Linked DNA regions of Cricetulus griseus. The protein of the gene in region 1 purifies or fractionates together with the protein of each later gene. This does not show direct contact. Links are inferred from orthologs where the notes say so. Each region holds a gene or a part of one and is shown in the gene's direction. Other genes may lie near its edges.

The links.
Region 2: the proteins of Etaa1 (region 1) and Rpa2 purify together in Homo sapiens (affinity purification with western blotting; 4 studies listed by BioGRID, with this or other methods). This does not show direct contact. The link is inferred for Cricetulus griseus from reciprocal best matches to the Homo sapiens genes ETAA1 and RPA2.
Region 3: the proteins of Etaa1 (region 1) and Atr purify together in Homo sapiens (affinity purification with western blotting; 3 studies listed by BioGRID, with this or other methods). This does not show direct contact. The link is inferred for Cricetulus griseus from reciprocal best matches to the Homo sapiens genes ETAA1 and ATR.

Annotation. Positions count from the first base shown.
Region 1 is NW_023276807.1:88,415,565-88,423,248, forward strand, and holds the start of Etaa1 (ewing's tumor-associated antigen 1), read left to right. Parts: upstream 1-2,555; 5' UTR 2,556-2,654; coding exon 2,655-2,883; intron 2,884-3,753; coding exon 3,754-3,882; intron 3,883-4,143; coding exon 4,144-4,220; intron 4,221-7,406; coding exon 7,407-7,519; intron 7,520-7,684. UniProt on the Homo sapiens protein: Replication stress response protein that accumulates at DNA damage sites and promotes replication fork progression and integrity.
Region 2 is NC_048595.1:20,505,032-20,512,715, reverse strand, and holds the start of Rpa2 (replication protein A 32 kDa subunit), read left to right. Parts: upstream 1-3,937; 5' UTR 3,938-4,086; coding exon 4,087-4,096; intron 4,097-4,287; coding exon 4,288-4,397; intron 4,398-6,971; coding exon 6,972-7,073; intron 7,074-7,684. UniProt on the Homo sapiens protein: As part of the heterotrimeric replication protein A complex (RPA/RP-A), binds and stabilizes single-stranded DNA intermediates that form during DNA replication or upon DNA stress.
Region 3 is NC_048597.1:204,495,834-204,503,517, forward strand, and holds the start of Atr (serine/threonine-protein kinase ATR), read left to right. Parts: upstream 1-2,309; coding exon 2,310-2,368; intron 2,369-7,370; coding exon 7,371-7,462; intron 7,463-7,684. UniProt on the Homo sapiens protein: Serine/threonine protein kinase which activates checkpoint signaling upon genotoxic stresses such as ionizing radiation (IR), ultraviolet light (UV), or DNA replication stalling, thereby acting as a DNA damage sensor.

The DNA of each region.
Region 1 (7,684 bases):
ATGGGCCTAAATTAGAGGTTTTGTTACTCTGATAAAAAATACCAGAGAGAAACAATTTAAAAGGGGAAGGCTTTATTTTTGACTCATAGTTTCAAATCATAGTTAGCAGGTTCCACTGTTGGGGAAAGGAGGCTGAACATCATGGCAGAGGGGAGAGGGGCACAATAGCTACATCATTCAAACACATGTCCCGTAAACCTACTTCATCCAAAAAGGTTCCATCTCCTATTTTCATCATCTCCCAACAATGCCTTCAAATTATAAACCTGATGGTAGGTTAATCCACTCACTGAGCCTGAGGCCCCATGATCCAAACATGTCGCCAAGGCCCTACCTTTGAACTCTGTTAAATGTTTGAATTATATTGATGCAAACTATATGTGTGTATACATATAACACACACACACACACACACACACACACACACACACACACACACACATATGTATAAGTTTTTACTTAATATTTTTCTTTTTTGAGACAAAATCATTCAGTGTAACCCAGATGGCCCAAATTCTCAATTCTCCTGCCTCAGCCTCCTGAGTGCTGGGAGGGTTACATGTGTGGTCCACCATTCCATCTGGTTGTAGTATTTTCCCCCAAAGTCCTTTTGTTATTATTCAGATGGTTCACATTTGTATTAAACAAGCTATATTTATGTGGAAACCTGTGGAAGGGCTATTTATTCTATTCATTTATTTGTCTATCCCTTCACCACTAGAATGCCATCCTAACTCTTAACTGCTCTAACTCATGACACTTGGGAGATATCCAACTTTATCATTCATTATTCTTCAGGAGACCAATAGTTTCTTGGTTATCTTCTTTCATTTTCACTTACATGCATACCTTAGAATAAAGCTATCTTCCCTTTCTGCATGCATCACCCTGTTCTGAGAGTCTAAGGCATCAGTGCTGACTCTAGACAAATTTGGGAAGAACTGGCCCTGTAATAATGGTGATACAGCCATGAACACAGCATAACCTATTTTGCTCTTCAGTTTATTTCAAAGTGTTTTATAGTTCTCTCTGTATGTAGAGCTGCACTCTTTAATTTCACTATTTATTGCAAATCATATTCTCTTAAAACTTAGAACTTTGTTCATTACTAATCTACTAAAGTACAACTGACACTTGAGTTTCACTTTGTATTGGGAATAGAATAAAAAGGCCATACCTACATTGATTCTAAAAGGCTGACTGATTAGGGGCCTACACCTGTGATCGATTCTAGCACAAGCAAGGATGAGGCAGGAAGACGAGGAGTTCAAAGGCAGACTGCATTATATAAGGGGTGCAGACTGTGCTACATAAGACATTGTCATAAAAAAAAAAAAAAAACATGGACACACTCTGTGATGAGGATAACTGGAATGGTGTAGATATAAAACCAAATAATCTTTACACCTATCATTAGTGTCCTAACTAGCCACAAATTGCCCAGCTTTCCGTCAGGCTTAACATCCTGTTGTCTATCAGGTAAAACCTTTGGAATACATTATTAACTATCCTTACCTACAGCCCATGGAAAATTATCCCCTGCTTTGCTCTAACCCGCCTATCTCCTATTGTCCCCAACAAAGCGTCTGAGAAACACTTCCTTTGTTTTGTTCTGTGACTGTTAAAGCTTGTGTAAATCCTTTTATGTTGAGACATGTTTTTTCAGGATAACCTGAATCAAGCTCCCTGGCCATGATAATTATTTCGTTCAAATTAAATGCTGCCTTATTCCCATTGAGAGGACAGTTTTCAGCAACCGTTAGTTTATTAAAAATTAGTAAGTTTTCCTACATTTTGGATTTTTCTACCCACATAACATATCTGTGAGCTGTCATTTTTATTCCCTCCAAAAATATACCCCCCCTTTTTTTTAAATCAAATTACCGAATAACATACCATCATATCAATCTTGGAAATACACAATTTAAGTTGTGTCTCAGTTAGGGTTTCTATTGTTGCAATGAAACACCATGACCAAAAAGCAAGGAGAAGAAGGGGTTTATTTGGCTTATACTTCAGCATTGCTGTTCATCACTGAATGAAGTCAGGACAGGAACTCAAACAGGGCAGGAACCCAAATGGGAGCAACCCTCCCCTAGGTTGCTCAGTCCATTTTCTTGTAGAACCCGGGACCAGCAGCCCAGGTTTGGCACCACCAACCAAGGGGCGGTCCCTTCACCGTCGATCGCTAAATGAGAAAATGCCTTCTTTACAGCTAGATGTCAAGGCCATTTCCTCAACTGAGGTTCCTTCCTCTGATGACTAGCTTGTGTCAAGGTGACACACAAAACCAGCCAATGTATGCTGTATACTCAGTAAAAATCTGCCATTGCATTGGACCTCTTTACTACCTCCCAACCACTTATCTAGAGAAGACTTTTGCAATCCCTCCTAAACCAGTGAAGCTGCAGACCTTCCACAGAGGAAGCTTCCTAGCTGGAACTGCCTCGGCCCCGAGCACTGAAGGTAGCCTCCGAAATCCCGCCCCTCAATCCCGCAGCCAATCATCGTCAGGCTCGTAACCCTGCCCCTAGACAGACGCAGCCAATCAGCGGCAGCGTCTTTTGCGCGCCCTGCTTGCGAAGATGGCGGTGTGTGTTGGCGCGCAGGCTGTGTGCGGAGCCGTTTCACAGCTCCCCGGCACCGGAATGTGAATGCGGCTGGAGGAGGGTGCCACCGGGATGAGTCGGCGAAGGAAGCATGCGGGCAGCCCTGCCAGGAGGAGCACGCCGCGCAAGGCGGCTGCCGAGGACGGCTGCCCGGCGGTGGAGACGGAGTCCCGCCGCTCCAGGCCCCGCGACTCCCGGCTCTGCAGGGCCGAAGCGCGGCCTTTGCGGCGGGAGCAGCGCCGGTGGGCGGCTGACGGCGGGCGGAGCCCCGGAGGTGAGGGGACGGCGGGCGGGGAGCGGAGCCCCGGGCTGGCGGGTGCTGAGGAGAAGGAGTGGAGCTCAGCCCAGGCGTCGGAGGGGCGGGAGGCTTAGGCTGCAGAGCGGAGTCCCCGGGAACTGGCGGCGTTGGTTGTTTTCTGGTTGACTGGTTCTGGGCGGGGCCTGTGCCTTGGACCACCCTGGGCCATTGGTCAACTAAGCTTTTCTCTTTTTTTTTTTCATTGTTTTGCTAAAGGGTCACCTCAAAGCTATTTGCTCCCGGAACTTGCTAGGAATAACATCCGGTTAGAATAGCAAACTAATGGCGCGTTCCTTTCTGATAACTTTTGGTGTTAGATTTTGAAGATTATTAACCTAATAGGTAGCCGACTGATAACCTTTCCGAGAGCGTGTTCTTAAATTACAACTTCTGTCACCTTGCCTGCCTCTGCTATGACAAAACAAGTCTGAGAAAACAATAACATCGTAAAATTTTAAATGATTCTAGACAAAAACTTCCCTAGAAACTAGAAGCAAATCACTGATGTTTTGGGGAGTAGTTCATTAGAGTATAAAATTTGGGTAGAGTTGACAGGAGGGGCTTAAAAGAGTCGAGGGCTTCAGTTTGGATACATTTTGAGGTTTGCAATGTATTAGTAATTCAATGATCAGGTGGTATCATTCCTGGGACCATGGAATCTTTAAAAAAATACTAATACTATGAAATATCAACGCATTATTTTTATTGAAATCTTTCTATTGTGGTTAAAGTAATTGTCTTTAAGAGACAAGTTTTATATTGGACATAAAAAATAATTTAAGCTGCTATCTGACTTTGGCTCTTGTGAAGTAATGCTTAAAATGTGTCAATTGTCATTTTATATAGAAAAGTATGAAACACCAACAAGAGTTCTGAAAACAGATTTATTGTCCTGTGCCTTCAGTTCCCCAAATGATCCAGATGGACAGACCGATATCTTCTGGGATCAAAATTCTCCAATCACCAAACAGTTAGGTAATCTGTTAAGATTTTTATGTGGTTAAATGTTTGATGAAGGTTAGTGATTGTAAAATTTTAGTCGGGTAACATCGGAAACTTCAATACAGTGGGTTTTTTTTGTTTTTCTTTTTTTGAGAATCTGGTATGATTTTTCTCTCTAATTTGCACATTAGTGCAGAGTGATTTAAGTTACATCGATTACAATCATTCTCTAAAAAGTAACAACTGATTTTAAAATTCTTGGTCTAAGATTTATAGAAATGTCTGTTTCTTTAGGGAAAGGAAGAAAAAAGCAGATTTCCAGTACATACACTGATGAGATTTCGCATATTGTCAATCGTATTGCTCCTCAGGTAAAGACAGCAAGTTTCATGATTTATAACTGCATGCTTGTTTCCTTTCATATTCAAAATATGTATTTAGAGCAACAAAGGTTACAGCTAGCCTTTCTGTTTCTGAATGAATGTCTTGAAAAATATGGAACGAATTATAGAATGAATACCAAAGTCTGCAGATTCTGAAGTTTTGTACATAAAATGATATGGTTTTTCATAGTGCCTGTTCATATCCTCCCATATACTGTATTTATTTATTTTTATTCTTTGCAGTGTTGGAGCTCAAACTCACTTCTGCTAGGCAAGTACTCTATCATGAGCTATGCCTCCAGCCCACCCCATATACTTTAAGTCATCTCTAGGTTATTTATTCCTTAGATAAAATAGTTATTTGTTATGCTGTACTATTGGGGGAATATTAAAAAGAAAATGCCTGTATATGTCCCATATTTTTAGTACACTTTTGGTTAGATGTGGAACCTGCAGATACAAGTAGATATTTTGTTTTGATTCTCTTGGAGTAGTAATTGACTAGTTTTATTTTTGTTGTCTTTAATGTATTTACCACCAAGCTGCGTTTTCCACATTATATTTTGAGTAAGTTGTATAGTAGAACAAACAATGTAAATTTAAGTTCTTGTTGTTAGTGCTTGCTGTCTATAGTACATATTTTTCCTGTTGCAGTTGCTCTTACTAGTATTCACTGGCTTATAAAATCACCAAGACAAAGTTTAAAACTGGAAAGGTCACTGGGCTTAGATACAGGCCTAACTAATGCAGCCTCTTCTATGACCCAACACCCCCCACCCCCACCATGTGTCAGTTAATGGTCATAACCTCAGTTCATTTTACTATAAAGTAGAATTATTACCTGCCTTACTGTCTTCAGTGGATTATTAGGGTTAAGTTATATGAAATTTACAAACTATAGAGTGCTATAAATTAATTATGATTTATTTTAATAGACCCATCTTCAAAGATTTTTTTTTCTTTAACTTTTGTGATGTTTGAGTGAAATACAAGTTTTAGTGAATCATTTAATACAAAGGAAACCAGTTAACTATCATTCCTGGTATTATCTTGACACTGTTAGTAAGAAGCATGGTCCAGAACATAACTGTTCTGAGTTTCTTTTCTTTCTTTTCCTTACTTAGTTTATTTTTACATTTTTAAAAGTGTGTGTGTGCGCACACATGAGCATGCACTCTCTTTTGTACAACAGCATGTGTGGAGGTCAGAGGACAACTTGGAAGAGTGAGTTCTCCTTCCACTCTCTTGGTATGATTCATTATATCAACACTTAATTTCGTGAACTACATTTACGGTATAATATTACTACTTTGTATGTTAACAGTAAATCTTCATTAACTAAAGCAAAGAAGCACAGAAAATAGCTTTAGGCTGGTCAGATTGCCTAGCGGTAAAATGTTGAGTGTACAGTTGACACCTTTACTAAACGGGCTGGAAATAGTATCTCTTGTGAAGAAATGGCAAGAGCACTCAAGTGGTAGCTTGAGTCACTGAACATTACGTTGGGATTAGTTTATTCAGTCTTCTCCTACTGAGCATTATTAAAGCAGGTTAATTGTTGGCAGCATTAAGATCTTTTGAAAAGTGTCATACTCATAATTACAAATACTTGAGATTTTCATAGTGATCTTCAGATCATTCAATTTCCTCCTAATGGTTTCAGTTTTAATTTTCTAAGATACACATTTGCATATTAGACAGACATCCCATTTTCTGTAGTGATAACATGCGCTGTGTTTAAGGTGATATCTTTCACCATATATATAACTATACAGGGTGCTCATTATTATCAGTTGAAGGATTAGACAACTTGATGGCACCAAGGATTTACTTAGGAGCCTGTAAATTAAAAGAAGCCCTTACAAGTAGTACATAAATATATAGAGGATTCCTGGTATATAAACTTGAGTGGGCACGTAACTTTGTCATGACTTTTTGAAACTTGTATAAATTTAATTTACTTGTAAATGGACAGATTCCATAATTAAATCGTTATTTGAAAGAGTGTTCAAACAAATGGGAAAATATCTAGTTTGTAAAATGAACTGATATTATTTTGCAAACTTAAAGTTAAGTAGATTTGGGTGTGCATTAAGAAAACTACTTGTTAATTCACTACCAAATTGTAGAGATGTTTTCACTAAAACCTTTAAGTAAGAAAATATAAAACTATAAAACGGCACTTTTTTTTTAAAGTCTCATTTTTCATGGATGTATGCATGCACACACTTTGTAAAGGTCAGAGAACAATTTGTTTTTATCCTTTGAGCCGTCTCCCTGGCCCAGTATGATTTTATACTCACCGTTGTAAATTCTAAGCTCTAGTTAGAATAACTTGTAATCTAGTAATAAGGCCATTTTTAAACTTTGTATGATCTTTTAATAGTAGTTCTCAAGCTTCCTAGTCCTGCAACCCTTTAAAACAGTTCCTCATTTTGTGCTGACCTTCGCCCCTAAATTTATCTTTATAGCTACTTCATAATTTTGCTACTGCTAGGAAGCCTAAATGTTTTTGGAGATAGAGGTTTGCCAAAGGTTGCAACCCATGTGTTGAGAACTGCTGGCTTATAATAATGCTCATTCCATAACTATCATTGTGATTGAGGAACTGAAAAATACAGCAAAAATCAAAACAAGAAAACCATCCTACTCTAAGATAACTTCCTACTTGAAGTTTTTCTGTTTCCCCATTCTTAGCTTTAGCCTTGACCATGCCTTAAAGTCTCTAGTCAGTTCTGACATTACTCTGTGCTCAATTTAAGTCAAAGTGGAGCTCCCAGTTCTTAAAGATCGAGGATAAGAAAATATTGGGGAGTCAGTGCTACAGAAAGAATTCTGAATGTATTTTTATTTTCTGTTCTGATGGTAGTACTTACTTTTTGAGTATCTTACAACAACTGAAATGATCTTTTATGTGTATATAACACCAAAATGTACTTGATAGGGAATGTATATCAAACCCTGGTTTTTATAAATGTGGTTTGAATATTTTTAAAAGCTCGAATATTTCTCCTTTACTTGTGAGGGCATAAATGGATCACAGTTTACAGCCAGTGACTATCTCCAGAATTCTTCTCCTTCCTCTCTACTCTCAACCTCTCCTTTTTCTTGGGGAGGGGGTATTGGTCACTTATTTTATGGTGCTCTTATGTTCTTTTTTCTTTGGTTTCCAAGGATGAAAAACCAGTGACAAACTCCATGCTGGGTGTGTGGATTGGTGACACTGCTATTCCTTGTACTCCTAGCATAGCAAAAGAAAAGTCAAGAGTGAAAATCAGCTGCACTAAGTGAGTTCGGATTTCACCTTCTTGTCATTCAATGAGGCAGATATTCTTACTAACATTGTAGGTTTTGGAATAAACCGAAATTGTAAACTTTTTGTTTTGATATGTAAAATTATGTAGTTAAAGACACATTATTCTGAGTTAAAATTTTGGTGTTTTTTGTCATAT
Region 2 (7,684 bases), on another chromosome or scaffold:
TGCCATGTTCCTAGGTAGGATGCTGCTATCAGGATCTTGAACTTTTTCCTCTAGGTCATAGGAAGGAGATGCTAAAGGTCTTAGAGCACAGAAGTCATTAAAAGGGTCATAAAATAATTGTTAGGGAAACTCAGAGATGGCCCCACAGTTGAGAGCATTGGCTACCCTTCCATAGGACTTGGATTCAATTCCCACACACACATGATAGCTTCCAACTGTCTGCAACCCCAGCCCAGGGGATCTGATGCCACTGTGGGCACCAGGCACATCCATACACAAAAAATAAGATTTATTTATTTATTTATTTATTTGAGACAGGGTCTCTCTACATAACACTGACTGTCTTGAAACTCACTTTGTAGATCAGGCTGGTCTTGAATTCACAGAGAGCCACCTGCCTCTGCCTCCCAAGTGCTGAGATTAAAGGTTGTGCTCCCCTATGTCTGACTTAAATAATAGGTTTGGTTGTTATTGTTGTTTTTAAAAATAAACAGAAATATATATTTTCAGCAGTGGCTCACAGACCTTCCCTGCTTTCTGACTACTTTTCTGAACGGTACCTCAAAAGGTATAACTTTTAACAAGACATGGTGCTGCGAGCTTTTCATCTCAGCACTTGGGGTGCAGAGGCAGGCAGAGCCTGTGAGCTTGGGGCCAAGCTGGTCTAAATGGGGAGTTCCAACCCAGCCAGAATTACATACTGAGACCTTCTCTTCTAAAGTGAGTGTTTGTGTCTCCCCCCCTCCCTCTGCCCCTCTTTTTTGCTTTTTCAGGACAGGGTTTCTCTGCATAACAGCCCTAGCTGTCCCGGAACTCATTCTGGAGACCAGGCTGGCCTCTGCCTCCTGAGTGCTGAGATTAAAGGTGTGCACTACCACTGCCCAGCTATATATAATGTTTTAAAATTACGTTCATTTATTTTTCAAATGTGTGTGGCATGGTGTGCATGTGGAGACAGGACAACTTTCATGAATTGGTACTTATTGAGGCAGAGCCCCTTACTGTTTTTGCAGTTCAGCGAGCTCCAGCCTATCGAGCGCCGAAGCTTCTCTTTTGGCCTCCTATCTTGCCACAGGAGAGCTGAGATTACAGGTGTGTCATTGCAGCCCACTTTTTGCATATTCAGGATTTAGAACTCAGGTTGTCAGGCTTGCTCCTCATGCCCTCTATTTCTTCTGGCCAATAAACATTTCTCCTCCTCCTCCTCCTCCCCCCCCCTCCTCCTTCTTCCTCTGTGAAACCCTGGCTGTCCTGGAACTCACTCTGTAGACCAGGCGCCACCAATGCCCAACTCCCAATAAACACTTTTACAAACAAGTGAACAAATAGACTGGAGGGATAGCTCAGGGCTTAAGAGAGCATGATGCTCTTACAGATCTAAGTTAGGGTTGCAGAATCAACATGGCAATTGCCTGAGGAAAACTGCCTGTAACTCCAGCCCTAGGGGAATCTCCAGACCTCCTCTGACTCTGAAGGAACCTGAACTCAAGCACATACTACACAAGGACACATAGTTTTTAGGAAACTAAACAAAAAGTCTCTCTAGCAGGTTTTAGACCATGGTGTGTGATCCATATGAAGAATAGTTAAGTCACAGGGAAGGATGAACCCTGTAATCAGGGAGGGACACAGAGCTGGGGGAGAGGAGAGAAGGCAGGACATCTTTTTAAATGTGGCCATGAATGAGGTTTCTTTCTTTCGTTTTTTCCTTTTCGTTTGTTTTGCTTTTTTCAAGACAGGATTTCTCTGTGAAGACCTGACTGTTCTGGAACTCACTCTGTAGATAAGGCTGGCTTTGAACTCTGCCTACGAGTACGAGGATAAAAGGTATGTGTCATCACCACCCAGCTTAGGTTTCTTTCTTTAAAACACACATGTATGTGTATGCCCCTGGCTACGTGTGTGTGTGTGTGTGTGTGTGTGTGTGTGTGTGTGTGTGTGTGTGTGTGTAGGGTATAACTCTTGGGACATGTGAGATAACAGCCTGACTCCATTCTAACATTAGAAGCTATTCCTGTTTTCTGTAAAACTTAAATGTTTACCAGGTCTTGACCCATTTTCTGGAATTTGACATGTTCCACACCCTAATCTCCACCCTGATAAGATGTCCTGCCAAATAATTTTGGAATATTCAGCCAAGTTCCTATATAACCAAAGTTCCTCTGAAAATCTTGCAGGTTTAGGGGGCTATATAAACCTCACCTCCTCCTGTGTTCTGTACTATTTTCTCAAGCCCCTCTTAGGGAGATAGCCCTGACCGAAAATAACGCTTGCTTAACTTGACCAAAGATTTTGGGTAATGGTCTTTACTCTCATTTGGTGGGATTAACAGTTAAGCCTGTCCTACTATGAAGGTCCCAGGGCTCCACGTCAGATAGTTTGACTTGCTGAGCCATCTTGCTGGCCTCCGTGAAGTTTCTTACAGGCTAAATGGAGACAATCATGTGGCTGTACAGGGAACATTTTCATTTATTTTATTTAATTTTTTGAGGCCTGGAATTAGCTATATAGACCAGGCTGGACTCGAACTCACAGAGATCCTCCCATTTCAGCCTCCTGAGTGCTGAGAGTAAATCGCCACACCTGGAGAGTTTTAATTTTTTTCTGGGGGTGAGGTGCCTGGAGAGACAGTCATGGGTGCTGGGAATCCAACTCTTATATTTTTGGTTGTAAGCCTAGCTTTTAACAGCTGAGCCATCTCTCTAGCACAGTTTTCATTTCTTATAGAAATTAACTGTAAGCATTAAGATGGATCAGATGGACAGGGATTCTGGCACAGAATACTGAGTGTTATAAGACAGATGGAAAGGTATTCTGGTAATCGGGAGTCAAGGAATACCACAGGTCACAGTAAGCATAGCTGCTTACAGCTCTGCTTCAGGGAAAGGCTTCCCAGTGTATCAGCTCTGCTCTGGAAGGAGAGAGTCCTCGGCTCCAGCAGGAGATGGTTTCTGCTGTGAAGTTGTTACAGTTCCACTCGGGTCCCCTGGAGAGCCGAGTGTAACAAGTCCACTTAGACCTGCTCCGCTCTACTCTGCTCTGCTCTGGGTGCAAAGGTCTCACCCAAACCATATTCAGGAGATTTGCTGGGAGGGAAGAATGTGGGAGAGTGGCTGCCGCGCAGAAGGCAGCAGCAATAAGATGGACAGACACAGGGTTTATGTAGGGATTCTTGAGGGGGGGGGGCAGAGCTTTTCCAGGGTGGGGATTGTTCAGATTTCAATCCCTGAGCTCAGACTGCTGCATCTCCTGCTCAGGGATTGGTTAGTTTTCCGACCAGGTTTAAGGTCAGATTTGGCTTTGTTTTCAGAGCCAAAGTGTGTTCACTTCACTGGTCCTTTTAGCCTTTTGGCTCTAGTTTTAGGGCCAGGATGCATTTCTTTCACTGGCTCTGATTCCAGGGACATCTTTGGCTGGCCCATTTTCCCTACAATAACCCCACGAGGTCCTGGCTGACCTGGAACTCAAGAGATCTCCAGCCTCTTGACTCTGGATTACAGGTGTATGCTACCAGGCTCTTCCTAACTGGGGGTGGAGCAGCAGTACTGTGAATTTCGGAGGTGTGCACACTGCGTGTCACCACGGAGCACCAACGTCGAAAGCATGACTTGCACCACAGCAACTAAATCTCAGCATCTAAATCTCCCGCCAAACGGCAGTTTGGCGGGAATAGCGGGTTGACGAACATGGGAAATGATGTAACAGTCGCGCACTTGATAAGGGTAGTTTTATACGCCCCGGAAGCGTTGTTTTAATTGGTTGCTTTCTTGAAAACGGTCCTATCGGAGTTTTGCCCTCAGTAAAGGTGGCGGCTCAGGCTTCCGTCCCTTCTTGGGGCCGTGCGTTTTTCTGCAGCGGGTCTCCGATACCAGAAAACGCGGAAGAGTCGTGGGTTCTGATTGGCCGAAGCGAGATGTATCTTGGGCGCTGATTGGCTCGCCTTTCGCGGGAAGGAGTTTGTGGCGCCAGTGTAAAGTAGATACAACACCGGCACGCCTGAGCGCCCAACAGTTGTGAGGTGTTCGTCGAGCCGTCCGGACCGGGGTTTCTTGGGCCTCTCTCTCTCTCAGGAAAGCAGCGACCAGGATGTGGAATAGTAATGGCGGGCGAGCGGGGGAGGAGGCCGCGAGCCGCGCGAGGGAGTCGGGAGTGGGCGAGTGTCGCGCGGAGGGGGCAGGGCCGCCGAGAGGCCCGAGGTCCGAGCGGCGGCGTTCGAGGGGTCGGGGAAGGCGGGCGGCGGGGCCGCGGCGGGGGACGCAGGCGCTAACAACTGTCGTTCGCAACCAGGCGGGTTCGAGAGCTTCGGCGGCGGCTCCAGCTATGGCGGAGCGGGCGGCTACACGCAGTCCGCCGGCGGCTTCGGCTCGCCCACACTGTCTCAGGCAGAGAAGAAATCGGTACGCGGAGTGACCGCCCCGTCCCTGAGAGAACGTGTTTTTGTGGGGGAGGGTGGCACCCTCGAGCTTGTCCCGGACCTGTCCGTTATCTAGCCTGTCTCTAGTACGGTGAAGTGTGTTCTTAAAAAAAAAAAAAAAGCTAAATTGTGTGGCAAGTGTGCTGTGGTTTGCCGGGCCTCACCTCTCCTGCTCGTACCACGCGACACTGCTTTTTTTTCTTATTTTTTTGAGACAGCATTTCTCTGTGTAGCCTTAGCTGTCCCGGAACCGGCTCTGTAGACCAGAGGTCCTTCTGTCACTGCCTCCCTAATACTGGGGTTAAAGCGCCACCACCACCACCCGGCTGGAAAAGTATGCTTTAGCAGACTTAAATGTCCCGGTCGTCAGCCCTCAGGCCACGGTTGGGACTACCAAATCCCGGAAGGGCAAGAGCCTGCTGTGTTGAGAACAGATTTTAGGTTATTTCCTGTTGATATTTAACAGGAAGGACACTGTCTATAATCTGCTGTGCTTTGGCTGCCTTGTACATATTGCTTGTATGAGACTGAGAGTTTGGGGGGTTGGTTTTTTTTTTTTTTTTTTTTTTTTTTGAGACAGGCTCACAGTGTAGCCCTGCCTGACCTGGAACTCAGAGATCCCCTGAGAACTCTTGACTCTGGTGCTGGGATTAAAGGTGTATGCTGCCAGGCTCTTCCTAACTGGCGGTGGAGCAGCAGGTAGTCCTGCCACTAACGGAATACTTGCCTTTTATCTGTAGTGACTGTTCTTTGTTCTTTACTTTTTGCTTTATTTTTTTGAGGTGTGGTGTGAAATGTTTCTGAGATCCCAATAGGGCATTTCATTCTGTATTGTATCAGGATGAGGTTTGTTATTTACATTAGTGCTTCTGGTAAGTCAGAAATAATGTCAAGTTGAAGGCATGTCTTTTGTGATGTTTTGTTTTAGTTTCGAGACAAGTTTCCACTAATCTATCTGTGGGTGGCCTGGAACTTATTATATGTAGATCACAGGTGCATGCCACTCTGTTCAGCAACTCTTTTTTTTTTTTTTTTACATGTGTATGTATTTTTCTGCAGTCCAAACTGGCTTTGAACTCCCTCTTCCCAAGTGTTGAGATTACAGACATACATCACTGTAGTTCCGTGGATTCTCAGGACTTTGTGCATGTTAATGCACTCTACTGCCTGGGCCGCATCTCCACCTCCTTTCCCTCATTCCATGTCTATCTGTCTTCCTTCTGTTTTTCTCCTGGCAGTACTAGGCAAAAATGTAAGGTCTGTATTCATTAGGCAGGTGCTGCACCCCATCTTCATCTCCCCTTTTACTTTATTGCTTGCTTGTTGATTATTTTGGAGGGGCAGGAAAGATGATTCAGTGATTAAGAGCACTGGCTGCTCTTCTGGGGGACCTGGGTTTGATTCTGGCATCCAGACGGCATCTCACAACCATCTGTAACTACAATCCCAGGGGATCTGGCATTCTTCTAGCCTGGTCAGACACCAGACTTACACATGGTGTACGGACACATGTGGGCAAAGCACCTATACATTGTGTTACCCTTCTGAGTAAAGTTAACACTGATGTGTGGAAGTACATACCTTTCTATAATCTCAGAATTTGGGAGGCAGACGCAGGTGGGTGGATCTCTGAGTTTGATGCCACCCTGGTATATACACAGAGGAATCTCAAAAAAAAAGTTACATTGCTGGTAGACTGCTCTGAGAGGTAGTTTGAGTCTGTTCACTAAATGCTCTTCTGCCCATTCTATCTTATTCTTCTTCCTTTTAAAATGGCCTGCGAGGCTATACTCACCCCATTTTCTACAGGGACTGCCATCTATTTTATCAGGAAACTTAGAGGATCTCCTAAGTTCCTTTTCTGCTTATCATTTCTCAGGTCTTTTCCCAAAACACCTCAGTGGTGTCCTTACTATAACAGCTTGTTCTTACTATATTTGGAATATGGGTGTGTGGGTGTGTGTGTTTTGGAGACTGTCCTGGAACTCTCTTTGAAGACCAGCCAGGCTGGCCTCGAGCTCACAGAGATCCTCCTGCCTCTGCCTCCTGAGTGCTGGGGTTAAAGGTGTGCACCACCACTGCCAGGCTGGATATGTTCTTTTTACCCCACCCAGAGACAGGGTTTCTCTGTGTAGCCTGGAACTCATGCTGTACACCAGGCTGGTCTTGCAGCCTATGTTGTCCTGCCCCTAGTCTGACCATCTCTTTGTGAACCCACACTATAATACAAATATCTCTTCACCTGGAGTTCTGGCATCTGATCAGTGTAATGATTTGAATTTAAAAGGGTGGCATTTGCCATGTGTAATGGCATACACTTTGAATCTTAGCACTTAGGCAGCAGAGGCAGGGGAATCAAATGCACTATCAGTTAATTTTCTGGCCTTGTTTTCTGTCTCTGACATAAGGAGAATTTGCTTTTGAACATTCGGTGTTGTGTATTTGCACCAAGCATTTAAATACACAACACTGTATGTTCAAATACTTGGTGCATAGCAAATACTAAATGAACCATGTTATCTGTAGGGTTGACTGTTTGCATACTTTTCCTTTTCAGAGAGTCCGATCCCAGCACATTGTGCCCTGTACCATATCTCAGTTGCTTTCTGCTACTCTGACTGATGAAGTGTTCAAAATTGGGAATGTTGAGATTTCACAGGTATTTAAGATTGCTTGGAAGAAATGCTTAGTGATAAGAAATAAGGGGTTGTAAAGATGGCTGTCCAAGCATGAGGACCAGAGATCAGATCCCAATATCCATGTAGAAAACCAGGCTTGATTGCGATTACTCTTGTGCCTGTAACCACAGAACTGTAGGAGTCAGAAACAGGAAGATATGATCCCTTGGACATGCTAGCTCTAGGTTTAATGAGAGACCCTTCTTAAGGAAGGGAAGAAAGCCAACAGTGCTAGACCTGAACACCCAGTGTCCTCAAGCCTTTGCAAGGGCTTGGCACAGTATTTTTTATTTTTTTTGTTTTTTTTTTTTTTTTTTCAAAACAGGGTTTTATCTGTGTAATAGCTCTGGCTGTCCTGGAACTCACTTTTTGGACCAGGCTAGCCTCCAACTCTTGTTTGCCTCCCCTGTCCTGGAATTAAAGACTTGAGCCACCATGCTTACTCCCCCCCACCCCATTTTTTCTTTATTATTCTTTTGGCTCTTTGGGGTGCCTGCCACCTACCTCCCAAATAAATAACACACAGATTTCTTGTTACTTATGAATATCCCTTCTTAGCTTGGCCTGTTTCTAGCCAGCTTTTCTTAAATTA
Region 3 (7,684 bases), on another chromosome or scaffold:
TGTGGATTGTAGGCTGGTAATACTTTATGTCTAAATTCCACATATGAGTACATACCACATTTGTCTTTTTGTGATTGGGTTACCTGGCTCAGAATGGTTTCTTCTAGTTCCATCCATTTTCCTGCAAATTTCAAGATTCCATTGATTTTTTCTGCTGAGTAGTACTCCATTGTCTAAATGTACCACATTTTCTCTATCCATTTTTTTTTTTTTTTTTTTTTTTTTTTTTTTTTTTGGTTTTTCGAGACAGGGTTTCTCTGCGGCTTTGGAGCCTGTCCTGGAACTAGCTCTTGTAGACCAGGCTGGTCTCGAACTCACAGAGATCCGCCTGTCTCTGCTTCCCAAGTGCTGGGCTTAAAGGCGTGTGCCACCACCGCCCGGCTCTCTATCCATTCTTTAGTTGAGGGTCATCTAGGTTGCTTCCAGGTTCTAGCTATTACAAATAGTGCTGCTATGAACATTATTGAACAGATGTCCTTGTTGTATGAATGTGCATCTTTTTGGGTCTATGCCTAAGTGTGGAATTGCTGGATCTTGTGGTAGACTGATTCCCATTTTCCCAGACACCCACAACGAATCACTGAACTGAACTGGAATCCAGTTGCAGAGAAGAACAAGTGATGGGCAAAGGGGTCCAGACCAGGCTGGTGAAACCCACAGAAACAGCTGACCTGAACAATGGGGAACTCTTGCTCCCCAGAATGATAGCTGGGATACCAGCATGGGACTGATCCAGACCCCAGGAACGTGGGTTTCAGTGAGGAGACCTCGGAAATCTACAGGACCTCCTGTAGTAGTTCAGTACTTATCCCTAGCATAGGTGTGGACTTTGGGAGCCCAATCCACATAGAGGAATACTCCCTGAGCGAAGACACACAGGGTGGGCCTAGGCCCTATCCCTAAGGATATGATAGACTCTGATGACACCCTATGGAAGGCCTCACCCTCCCTGGGGAGCAGAAAGGATATGATAGGTAGGGTATTAGTCGGGGGTGGGGGGGGTGGGAGAGGAGGGGAGGGAGAAGGGAACTGGGATTGATGTAAAATAATCTTGTTTCTAATTCAAATAAAAAAATAAAGAAAAATGGTAGCCAGAATAATGACTTATAATTTAAGCTTTTAGAAGTATAATCATGCCATTCGTAGTGGCTCATACCTGTAATTCCAGCATTTCAAGGCTGGGGAATGGGATTCTTCATCAGGACCAGCCAGGGAGCCATAGTGAAATTTGACTTAAAAACAAACAAAGGGAGGGAGAAAAGAGAAAGAGGGGAAAGTAGCAATGGAAATAAATGACATTCTATTGTCTGACTCTTGTTACCTCTTAACCATTACTGTACTCTTGGGATATGAGAAAAAATGGAAATAAAAAGAGATTAAGTACTTTCTTGAGGCCATATAGCTTCTAGCAAGTGTAATGATAATTTTTTCAGGGTTCATAACTCCTAATCCCGTTTTTTCTAACATTCAATAATTCATTAAAAATGTTTACTAAACATGAACTATGTCCAGGCACTGTTTCAGTTCATGGGGTGCCAGCAATAGGCAAAATAAACAAAGACCTTGTTTTCAAAACCTTATATTCTAAGACACAATCAGTGTCGTTAGGTTTTAAGTGCTATGAAGAGAAACAAAACAAGGTGAAGACGGGGGTGGGGTGGGGTCGGCTGGGGTGTGTGTGTGGGGGGGCGAGTTTATGTTACTGGCCTGTATAAGACTCATGCCACTTCATCAAGGGATATCTAAAGGAAAAGGCGCAGAGGGAAGAGTGGTCAAGGTACAGCAAATTCGGATCCTGGAGTCTGGAGCACACCTGGCTGCCACTCCACCACTTTTTAATTTTATTTTTGGAGGCTGTATCAGTAATTATCTTTATGTGCCAGACAGCAAATGAAAGCCCTACTGAGTGGCCTTCCGCAGTTAACTACGTAATTCTGACATAGTGAAATGTATAACTTTAACTGTCGCGTCGTCAGGTCCCTCTGCAACCCAGATCCTGGGCTCCCGCTTCCCTGAGCATCCAGGTTCGAGCATCTCCAAAGCAAAAATACCCGCCGAAGGTCACGCACTCCGGGGGGAGGAGAATTGGGCGGGCACGTCCGCTGCCGGCTCCGCCCCTGCCGCCCCGGGGATTCCCCCCAGGTCCTAACAGGAACCGAAACAAGAGCCTGCGGGTCGCGGCCGACGGCGGCTTCCGGGAGGAGTTTTGGCCCGCGCGGGCTCCCGTCGGCGCTCCGCTTTCTCCGGAGGAGGCTGTGGAGAAAGCCCTACGTTGGCGGCGGCTGTTTTGAGAGCCGCACGGTGTCAGCATGGGCGACCACGGGCTGGAGCTGGCGTCCATGATCCCCGCCCTGCGGGAGCTGGGCAGGTAGGGCCGCGCGTGGTAGCCAGCCTCGCGACGCTGGACGCCGCGTCTCCTCAGCCGGCGCCGCGGCCTGCGGGGCGCTTTCCCCTCAGCGGCCGTTGGCGGGAGCGCGGTGCTTCGTGCAAGCGGGGTGGCCGGGCAGCGAGCGGCTGTGCAGCGCGCGTGTCGTGCCCACGCGAGTTTCTGCTTCGCGTGAAGGGCCTCTTGTGGTCATTGCCGCACACTCGTTTGCCGCACACTCGTTTGCTTCTGGAAAACCTTCCCTCGGTTCTGTTCCTTCTCGTCGCTGCCGGGGGAGTTCATTGGCTTAGGTTTTGTGTCAGAATCACGGCCCCTCTTCTCAGCGAGGCGAATCAATGGCTAAAAGGGCTCGGTCGGCCTAAAGATGTGGCCCCACCCCCACCCCGTCCCCGAGTTGACCGGCCCGTTATTTTAGTCAGAAATCCGAGGGCCTGGCCCCAGGTCCACAGAGTAACGTGCACAGCGCTCCCCCAAACTAAGTTGGTATTCCATTTGTAAACGCCCCTCTCCGGCCTGACGGAGCGTCGCTCGCCTTTCATCCCAGAACTCGGGAAGCCGAGGCTGGCGGACCTTGAGCCAGCCAGGTCAAAAAGGCGAGGGAGGAAAAAACAAAAACAAAACAAAAACCAAATGCCTTGTGTCTGTCTACCCCTAGAGGCTAGTGAAAACCAGGTTGCAATCTGAAGAGCTAGTGCTTGCCACGCCCCTCGTCGCTTCCCTCTCTCAGGAGACCATTGCTTTTCGATTTCTTAAACTAGAAACGTTGCACGAAAAGTCAGTGCTAACCTTAAGTCTGTGGAATATCAGCCGTGTTCATTTCCTCCTGCTGGTCATGTCAAAAACCTAAATTGGAGGATAAACGAAAAGACCACTTTTGTTTGTCCTAACTGCATCATCGCTGTGATTTTTTTTTCACTTTGCCTAATTGTGGCAAATATACTTTATGGGAGCATCTAGTAATTGCTGTCTTTCTAGAAGTGTGAGTAGAGATGGTGAATTTTGGGAAACTGATAATACAAATTTTGTTGTTTCACTGAGATGACCTCAACATATGCACCTGTACTCAAATGAACAGGTACACACATACAGACTTAAAAAATAATTAAAAATTTAAAAGAGTTTAACAGCTGTTACTATACTAAAAAAACGTATATAGCTCAACAACATAAAAAAAAAAAACACACACCTCAATTTGTTGAAAAAGTAGGTAAGGAAATTGAACATATTTTTCTCCAAAGATGGTATAAAAATGGCTACCAAGCAAATGAAAAGATAGGTGTTTGAAATGATTAGTAGTACAGGAGACACAAATTAAAATCTCAAGGAAGCTGATGGGATAGCTTGGGGGGCCAAGGCAAGAGGCTCACTGAACTTGAGAACAGCTTGGGCTACCAAAGAGTTAAAAGGGGCTATGTGATGAGACCTTGTCTCAACCTTGTCTCAACCCACCTCAAACGAAAACAAAACAAGGAGATACCATTTTTTTTAAAAAAGATTTATTTATTATATATACAGTGTTCTGCCTGCATGTATGTCTGTATGCCAGAAGAGGACACCAGATCTCATAACGGATGGTTGTGAGCCACCATGTGGTTGCTGGGAATTGAACTCCGGTACTCTGGAAGAGCAGCCAATGCTCTTAACCTCTGAGCCATCTCTCCAGGCCTAGGAGATACCATTTCTAGACCATTATAACTATTGTATATATAAAAATTATATATTGTATATATAAAAATAACTTTTTTATAAAAAATACTTGGTAAGGATATGGGGAAAGTAAAATGATATAACTTAACCACTGTGGAAAATGGAATGAGTGAGTGTGCTACAAAGAAGGAAGGGAATAAATATGGAATTAACCTATAACCCAGCGATTTTTTTTAAATATATACCCAAAAGAATTTAAAGCAGAGATTTGAACAGATATTTTTACACTATTTCATAGCTGCACTGTTCACACAATACCTAAATGATGGAAGCAAATGTTCACCAACAGATAAGTAGACATAACCTTCCCAGATGTGACATAAATATAGATAATATTATTCAGTGTGAAAAGGAAAGAAATTTTAACATGCACAGCATAGATTTTATACTAAACCAGTGGTTCTCAACCTGTGGGTCATGGCCCCTTTGGCAAGCCTGCCTCCACAAAAATATTTACATTATGATTCCTAACAGTCTGGCCTTTCTATGTCTCCTTATGTCTTTTCTAACTTCATCTTAGGTGTCTCTCTGTTGTTGTTATTAATTACAACTGCATTTGTATCCCAGGCTTCCCCTAATAGGATCTGTGTTATTTACCTTCCAGAACTGTCATCTCTCTCAGATCCAAATTAGGTTTAATATCCTATCTTGTTGCCTATGAGTTGGAGTAGCATTGACAATAATGTTTAGTCTTATTTCATGCATATTGACTGTATCTCTATTCATCTTTGTTTGTTTTTGTTTTCAAGACAGGGCTTCCCTGTGTAGCTTTGGAGCCTGTCCTGGAACTTGCTCTGTAGACCAGGCTGGCCATGAACTCGCAGAGATCCACCTACCTCTGCTTCTGGAGTGCTGGGATTACAGGCATGCCCCACCACCGGCCAGCTCTGTATATCTTAAGATCTAGAAGTATCCATGTATCTCATAGATATCTCACTTATTAGTTATTGCCTTGAAAACTCAAAGAATATTTCAGCTGGTTTTACTTTTCTCCCAGTTCTGTGCTTCATATGTTGACTGTTTGGTAAACGGCCTCACAGTCTACCCTAACTTATCAAGTCTCCTCCGAGCTGCTTTTCTTTCTCAACATTAGTTTTTTGTATATTGCCTGATGCATTATAGGTGCTCAGTAACTTTGCATTGATTCTAAGAATAATTGTCATCATGGGTTGTAGCACAGACTCTATTAAATTTTCATTATCTGTTTTGTGGTGATTTTATATAAAGTCACAGAGCTGAAGCTGAATTCATTCAGAATTTTAGGGAATGATTCTGTTGAATTTTTTTCTCAATTTTTTTCCAAGTGTTGATTGAACCCAGGGTCTCCCATGTGGTAGCAAATGCTCTGCCACTTTGTATTTCTCTCTAATACTTTTTCTTAATTATCCCTAAGAATGAGAGTGTGTGTGTGCCTATATATTTCTTAGCATTTTTGTTACTTTTTAACATGAACATCTTCAAATACAACAAAAGAAGAAAAAATTATATATTGATTTCCTCCTTCATAGCCTTCTTTCTCCCAGAACTTATTATTCTGCATTAAATCCCAGACATCATTTCATCTATGTCAATAATTACCAGTAAAGAACAGAGACTTCTTTTATATATTTATTTACTTTATTTTGTGTGTGTAAGTATTTTGGCTGCATGTATGTGTATGTACCTTGTGTGTGCCTGATGCTCTCCGAGGTCAGAAGAGGTCGTTGGATCCCCTGGAACTGGATTTATGGATCGTTGTGAGTAACAGTGTGGGGGTTGGGAACTAAACCAAGATCCTCTACAAGAGCAGCAGTTGCTCTTAATAATGAGTTGTCTACCCATGTACCATGAGCAAGAAGATGGTTTGAACCCAGGACTTTATATGCATGACACAAATGTGATAGCTGCTACACTACGGAAACATGTTTGAGACTTTAAAATATGACCATAGTACCATTATCAATTTAAGATTACTAATGTCATTTGAGATCTGGATGATGATCACAAATTGTAATTATTTGATGTGGCTCTTAAGTCTTAATTATAGTCTTTCTTTCTATGCTTAGAATTTGTGTTTTGTTTGTGTGTTTGAGACAGGGTCTCTCTGTAATTTAGGCCTAGTGTCCTGAAACTCACAAATATTCACCTGCCTCTGCTTATTGAGTCCTGGGGTTAAGGTTTATGCCACCATGCCCATTCAGAATTAATTTCTTTCTCCCTTCCTTCCTTCCTTCCTTCCTCCCTCCCTCCCTCCCTCCCTCCCTCCCTCCCTTCCTTCCTTCCTTCCTTCCAAAGAATTTGTGTCTTAAAGAAGCTCTGCTACAGATTTTCTGAAGATCTGGATTAGTAGTTTAATGGAACTATAGTAGAAGCTACATATGTAATTATTTAAAATTTTGTAGTCAACACATTCTAAAAAGAAGTAAAATTAAGCTAGCAATGTTTTATAGGCTATGTATTAACTCATTATATCCAAATAATAGCATGTTCATATGTAACTGATATAAGATTATTAATGCAATGTTAACTTTTTATGTGTGTAAGTATTAGTAATCCAATATGTATCTTATAACACATCTTATTTTGGAGTAACTTTAATTCAAGTATTAAATAGTCACGTTACCATTTTGAGTGCACATTTATAAAATCTGCAGGTCAGATTCCTGCGCTGGCATTTAAGATCCTTTCTCCCCCACCCCATCCCCAAAACTAGTAATGTCATTAGATTTTCATTTTTAAGCAGTAGAATACCGTCAGTGTTGACACTTAAACTAATTGCATTTTGAGGCCAGCCTGGTCTACAGAGAGAGTGCCAAGATAGGCTCCAAAGCTACACAGAGAAACCCTGTCTCGAAAAACCATAAGTAAATAAATAAATAAACAAACAAAAGTTTAAAAAAACTAATTACATTTGGCAAGTTCGACTTTAAAGGGTTTTCTTACAAATTAAAAGGTGAGTCCTTTTAAAGATTAAAAGCTTTATGTTGGTTTAGTTTGTGAGAAAGAGTCTAAGAATCTAGAATTGCCTCCTGCCTCAGTTTCCAAATTATAAGTATACGCCACCATACCTCTCATAAAAAATTTTTTACATTAATTTATTTATCAAGAGGGAGAGTCATATACAGCATAGTGCATGTGGAGGTCAGACGATAACTTCTGAGGCTTGATGGTCTCCTTCCACTATGTCAGTCATAGGAATGGAACTCAGATCTGATCTGGCAGCATGTACCTTTACATGCTAAGCCATCTTACTAACTCCCTCTCTGCCTCTTTTAACAAGCTTTTCTTTGTATTTTAGTGCTACTCCAGAGGAATATAATACCGTTGTACAGAAACCAAGACAAATTCTCTGCCAGTTCATTGACCGAATCCTTACAGATGTAAATGTTGGTAAGAAGGAATTATTTCTTACATGAACTTCAGGAGTTAGATGGTTTTCCATGTAATATTATATTACTATTTTTTTTCTTTTTGCCTCTAGGCAGTTTTAATTGCAGAATTAATATTTTTTAGAGATACTAATTTCAAGAAAGTTGTTCCTTAGTGTTGCTTGTTACTTAAAACATATAATTTAGACCTTAAAACCAAGTTTGTGTTTCTGTTAATAACCAT